2 linked regions of the Saccharomyces cerevisiae S288C genome follow. The protein of the gene in region 1 interacts with the protein of each later gene in a biochemical or structural test. Each region holds a gene or a part of one and is shown in the gene's direction. Other genes may lie near its edges.

Evidence for each region.
Region 2: the proteins of TAF11 (region 1) and TOA1 form a complex in vitro, tested with the Saccharomyces cerevisiae proteins (one study listed by BioGRID).

What each region holds. Positions count from the first base shown.
Region 1 is NC_001145.3:241,219-244,975, reverse strand, and holds TAF11 (TATA-binding protein-associated factor TAF11), read left to right. Parts: upstream 1-1,946; coding exon 1,947-2,987; downstream 2,988-3,757. Other genes in the region: UBX2 (Ubx2p), read right to left, coding at 1-827; TRM9 (tRNA (carboxymethyluridine(34)-5-O)-methyltransferase), read right to left, coding at 912-1,751; PPZ1 (salt homeostasis regulator), read left to right, coding at 3,440-3,757. UniProt on the Saccharomyces cerevisiae protein: Functions as a component of the DNA-binding general transcription factor complex TFIID. Binding of TFIID to a promoter (with or without TATA element) is the initial step in pre-initiation complex (PIC) formation.
Region 2 is NC_001147.6:711,183-714,123, reverse strand, and holds TOA1 (transcription initiation factor IIA large subunit), read left to right. Parts: upstream 1-1,580; coding exon 1,581-2,441; downstream 2,442-2,941. Other genes in the region: SLK19 (Slk19p), read right to left, coding at 1-1,258; PEX27 (Pex27p), read right to left, coding at 2,548-2,941. UniProt on the Saccharomyces cerevisiae protein: TFIIA is a component of the transcription machinery of RNA polymerase II and implicated in the regulation of basal transcription. Interacts with TBP (the TATA-binding protein).

The sequences.
Region 1 (3,757 bases):
TTATCAATCTTGCGCAAGTACTGTAAAGTCTTCTTGTTTAACAAAATCTTTTCCAATAGTAGTTTAGAATTAACATCTACGGTATCAGTATCGGTATCGTAGGTGTCGCCCACTAGGATGAGCAACATAAACTTAAACTCTTCTTTTGCAATACGCAAGGCCTCATTGAAGGAAATGTCTGGTTTAAAGCTTTTTAGTTCGCAAAATGCATCCTTGTCCTTCGTGTCACCCAGTATTTCTGCAAGTGGGATATGGGTTTCTCTGGTTGGTGCCTTTGGAACCTTGGAGATCTTGGGTTTTCCTGAATTACCGCCACCACTTATCGAATGCAGGGACAATAGAGTGCAAAAGAACGTGAATATTGTGGCAGATAACCTATTGATTATCCGAGGGATCAACAGTAAAATAAAAAGAAAGGGGTTACCATCATAACTAAAAGATTCAAACATGGACCACACAGTGTTAGAGCGTCCATTTAGCCCAATTGTTCTGAAATCATTGCGGAAGTTCGCTGGCAATGGTCTGACCACGGGCAGTGAGGCTGTAAATAACAACGGTCTAGGTCCCAACGCGGGAGGAACCAAGGTCTCAGCCATGGGTGTAGACGTTTGAGTGGGCTCTCCCATCTGGTCTGGTTCGCCTTTCCACTCTCCATCGAAATATCGGCTCAATGCTGGTTCTAACTGCCAACCATGGTTCCTCAACAGTCTCACCACATCTGGCAAGTCTTCTGGGGGGAAATTCGTGATGACCTGGAACTCATTTAACTTGTCCTCTTCTGTGTGCGAAAGGTGAAATTCACTATCCTCATGATTGACTACTGGCATCTTCGATTACACTATGAAAGCTATTACATACTTCTATCGTAATACCTGCTGCTACAAAATACACTGTCTACCTATATATCACCTTCATCTCTTCTGGGCCACCACCCACCAATTGTCGCGCTCGAAGCCCTCACTATGAACGGCAGCCCCAGCTTGGCGGCAATCCTCAGCCAATTCGCCCTCTCGGTATAAGTGATAGTATCGGTATTTTACCTCTTCTCTTTCCTGTTCTTGATCTTGTTGTTGCTTCTCGTCGTTATCATCAAGAGACTTACTGCGTTGCTGTTCCTCCTTCCAGCGCTGCAAGTATTCGGAACGCTCCTTTGGGGGAATATTCATTAAGTTTGGCTTTGGCCTTGTCTTGACTTTAGCAGGCGGCGTTGATTTAGTTTTTGGTTTGGATTTACTCTTGGGAAGAACCCAGGGGACAAAGACATCTTGCTCCATACCTTCATGGTAACCTCTACGGGAGCTGCCCTGTTCTAGAGCCCAACAATATATTAATGCTTGTCCGCCCTGACGTAGCTTCGATAGAACGTGCCTGATCACCTCAACACGTCTCTCCCTTGTAGACCAGTGATGCACTACAGCAATTGAGATGGCGAAGTCAAATGTTTCGTTTTTGTGTGGTAAGTTCAGCCCGTCTGCCACCAGTAAGTTGTACGATGGGTTTATTCCTCTGGCGCACTCAATAAGACCATCTGAGCGATCTGAACCGATAATATATATATCAGGGTTCACTCCGAGGTACTTTCCATTGCCACACCCGACGTCGATACCGATGGAACCCATTGGGCGAGTCTTCAAGAACTGAGTCACTATGGGCCATGGCTTATATCTAGTTTGCGAGAAATGCGGAGCTATCTCATTATACACTTTGTGAACATACTCCTGTTCTTTTTCAGCCGCTTGGTTTATCTCCATGTTGGTTCTTAACCTTTTATTTCTTGGCTCTTCGAGACCTCATCTCTGTTCAGTTCATTACCGAATTTTTTCTCTTATTCCCATTTCTTCGACTGAAAAGTTGAAAGAAATTGAAAAATCAAGAAGAGGTATATAGAGATAATTATCCATATAAATGAAGAGCACAAAGTAAGTTTGAGCTTCAACAGCGCAACGATGACCGAACCTCAAGGTCCTTTGGACACCATCCCGAAAGTGAACTATCCGCCAATACTGACAATAGCAAACTATTTTTCCACAAAACAAATGATTGACCAAGTCATCAGTGAGGACCAGGACTACGTTACGTGGAAATTGCAAAACCTGCGAACGGGTGGTACATCAATCAACAACCAATTAAATAAATATCCAAAATACAAATACCAGAAAACCAGGATAAATCAGCAAGACCCGGACTCTATCAACAAAGTCCCAGAAAACCTGATCTTTCCACAAGACATTTTACAACAGCAAACACAAAATAGCAATTACGAAGACACCAATACCAACGAAGATGAAAATGAAAAACTTGCGCAGGACGAACAATTCAAGCTCTTGGTAACCAACTTGGATAAAGATCAAACTAATCGGTTTGAAGTTTTCCATAGAACATCCCTAAACAAAACCCAGGTCAAAAAACTGGCTAGCACAGTAGCTAATCAAACTATAAGTGAAAATATTCGTGTTTTTCTGCAAGCGGTGGGAAAAATATACGCTGGTGAGATAATCGAATTGGCCATGATTGTGAAGAATAAGTGGTTGACAAGTCAAATGTGCATAGAGTTTGATAAGAGGACCAAAATAGGCTATAAATTGAAAAAATATCTAAAAAAATTGACTTTCTCCATCATAGAAAACCAGCAATACAAGCAAGATTATCAATCCGATAGCGTTCCCGAAGACGAACCTGATTTCTACTTCGACGATGAAGAAGTAGACAAGCGCGAAACTACGCTGGGCAACTCGTTGCTACAGTCCAAATCCTTACAGCAATCAGACCATAATTCACAGGACTTGAAGCTACAACTCATCGAGCAGTACAATAAGCTCGTCCTCCAATTCAACAAACTAGATGTAAGCATCGAGAAATATAACAACAGTCCCTTATTGCCCGAACACATCCGTGAGGCGTGGAGACTCTACCGTCTGCAGTCGGACACTTTGCCTAACGCTTACTGGAGAACTCAAGGAGAAGGGCAGGGATCCATGTTCAGATAGCTGCCCATAATTGTCCAACGGCTCCAACATATATCAATCTATATATAAACATATATATAATTTTTAACATGTCGTTTGAAATGACATGTCTATTTTTAAAAGGATAGCATATAAATTAATGAAAAAAAAAAAAAGAAAACGATTACTGCAGATCTTCTAATTCTGTTAATCAGCTTTCTCTTGTGAACCATTGGCAGGTGGGTAACATAAAAGCACAATACAATAGCTTCCATTATTAGTTTTGTTTGTTTTGGCAATACATGTTAAATCTTTTTCTTTCAAGTTAAATATAAAGATTATATATAAAAGTACTTCTTTGGAATACATTTGATTATACTTTTCTTTATCGTTTTATTTTTATTTCATCGTTATAGTCGCTTCTTTTCCCCTAGAGGCTTTGTCATAAAACAACAAATCAACCACTCTCTGCTTATCTTTCCTTCCTTTTCAAAATGGGTAATTCAAGTTCAAAATCTTCGAAAAAGGATTCACATTCGAATTCCTCCTCGAGAAATCCTCGTCCTCAAGTGTCGAGAACCGAGACTTCCCATTCTGTGAAGTCTGCAAAATCAAATAAATCTTCAAGATCAAGGCGATCTCTTCCTTCTTCGTCCACTACGAATACTAATTCAAACGTCCCTGATCCCTCCACTCCATCAAAGCCCAATCTTGAGGTTAATCACCAACGACATAGCTCTCACACGAATCGTTACCATTTCCCATCTAGCTCACACTCGCATTCAAATTCTCAAAACGAATTGTTAACTACT
Region 2 (2,941 bases), on another chromosome or scaffold:
TGACAGTATTTTCATGTTCGCCCTTTATATGATTTACTTCAGTAATTGAGGCATCGAATTTTTCTTGTAATATTTTTTGGTTGGAATTCAATACCTTAATTTCTGTATTCAACTCCTTAATCCTCTTTTTGAATTTTTCCACCTTGGCAATATCGCTCTCTCTTTCTGTATTTAGTTTATCTAACTTTTCATTTGTCAAATCTATTAGTAGTTGGTGATTTTTGTTCAATTTCTCGTATTGAAAAGACAATGATTCATTTTTGGAAATCAAAGAGTTTAACATTTGATTTAAGTGATATATCTGATCAGTGAGCTCCTCGTTTCTTTTTGCTACAATCTGAAAATTGTCATGTCTAATATCAAGTTGGTTGTCATCATCGTAGTCATTCCTCCCCTCTTCATTTGAGTTCGACTCCCTTGCAGAAGTCTCATACAAAGGAGTAAGCCTGTTTATATGAGAATTTGTTATATCATTTTCTTCGTCCTCCTTTTCCTTATAAGCATTGTCAATATTAACCACATTGTTACTGTTAGATTTTATGAAGTCTTCCTCTTGTTGTTTCTCATTTATATCATTTTCTAATTTAAGTGTGTCGGTATTGATATTGAAACTATCGTTTCTTTCAACTCCGTCGTTTATTATGAATTTATTTGGGCTTATGTTGGTCTCAATCATATCAATCGCCATTGGAGACGACATAATTTCTTCTTTGTCATTAATGATATCTTTAGTAGAGCTTTGTTTCAAATCAGGTACTGATTCTAACTGCAATTTCAATTTTTTATTAATATGGCTACCTTCTTTATCATTTTCATCTACGTCCACGTTTTTGTCGCTTCGTTTCTCTGAGGAGTTCATTTCAACTCTGATCGGTGAATAATTCAATGCAAGGACATGCTTATCACTAGTACTTGCGCCTCCTTTATCATCATTGGTACCTGAATCTGATTTTTTGTCATCAAACATTTTATTTATGTCTATATTCTCTAATGGATTGGCATTATTCTTGTTGTTAAGAGCTGATGACCTACCGTAATCAATCGAGCGGTCTAAATCCTGCTTCTCATCTTTCTCCTTCTCGAGCGGTTCATGAGGATGTATCACGAACTGGGAGGAACCAGGAGAGTTAAAGCTGGAATCCGGTTCGGAATTAAACGTGCGTGGGTTACGTTCTTGCGAACAGTTTTCTGAATTCTGCTCGCGTTGCTGAGCTTGCCCTAAAATAAGCCTAACTGGAGTGGTAGGAACTTCGTTCATGAATTACGATATGTGCTCAAAACCTTTTTTAACTGGGTGCCCCTTGACACCAATGATGCTCTTTTTAGTTAGTGTCCTTCAAATGAACCATTAAAGAGGAACTCATCGTACACTCTGAATTATAAATAAATAAATAAAGAATATAAATTAACGCGAAAAAAAGCTTCGTCAAGTATGATGTGAGACAGTTGAAGAAAAGATGAAGAAGCCAAATAACAAGGTGGATAAAGCCATACGGCATATTATCGGGGGCAAGCTCAAAGAAGAAAAGCGATAGTATCACACAAATCAAGGCCATACACAAGGGACATCGTTGGATATCATGTCGAATGCAGAGGCCAGCAGAGTGTACGAGATTATCGTAGAGTCTGTGGTAAATGAAGTAAGAGAGGACTTTGAAAATGCGGGTATCGATGAACAAACTTTACAAGACCTAAAAAATATTTGGCAAAAAAAGCTCACAGAGACGAAGGTAACTACTTTTTCATGGGACAATCAGTTCAATGAAGGAAATATCAATGGTGTACAGAACGACTTAAATTTCAATCTTGCTACCCCCGGCGTAAATTCTAGCGAGTTCAATATTAAGGAGGAGAATACCGGTAATGAAGGTCTAATTTTGCCAAATATCAATTCCAACAACAACATACCGCACTCTGGAGAGACCAATATTAATACGAATACGGTAGAAGCAACTAATAATTCAGGTGCTACCTTGAACACAAATACTAGTGGTAATACAAATGCGGACGTAACTAGCCAGCCTAAAATTGAAGTAAAACCGGAAATAGAACTTACTATTAATAATGCCAATATAACTACCGTCGAAAACATAGATGATGAAAGTGAGAAGAAAGACGACGAGGAAAAGGAGGAGGACGTGGAAAAAACCCGCAAGGAAAAGGAGCAGATAGAACAAGTAAAATTACAAGCGAAGAAGGAAAAAAGAAGTGCATTATTAGATACGGATGAGGTCGGTTCAGAACTAGATGATTCCGACGATGACTATCTAATTTCGGAGGGTGAAGAGGATGGGCCAGATGAGAACTTAATGCTGTGCTTATATGATAAAGTCACAAGAACAAAGGCGAGATGGAAATGTAGTCTGAAAGATGGTGTGGTGACCATCAATAGAAATGACTACACATTCCAAAAAGCTCAAGTGGAAGCGGAGTGGGTATAACTAAATCTTTAGACGTAAAGAAGAAAAAATGTATATATACAAGTACTATAATATCAAACTAAAAAAACGAAATAAAGAGGGATGCAACGAACTTGGTCATCTGTTGTCAAACAGCGCTTGTATGTTCATTAGCCGAAGTGACTTTGGCTCGGTTCCATAGCTTAAGGAGTTCAGTAACACCGGAACCTACTGAAATTATTTCGTAAGCTAGCTCTGAGTTATATTTGTCCCTTTTACCTTTAATATTAATTAGATTAGACAATAAGTTTAGTATTATCTTATAAAAATCCAATGTAATATTATTTTTCCGTAACTCCAAATTGACTTTGTCATTGGTAGGTAGTTTGTACTTTAACTCGTATTCCTTTATTGCATTACCACTGGTATTATAGATACTTAAATAAATTTCATCTCTTATTAGCTGTCGCCATTGTTCAATGTTTTTATTGATAGCAAGAATATTTAAAACTTCCCATAAGATATAGTGCTGTTCTTTGACG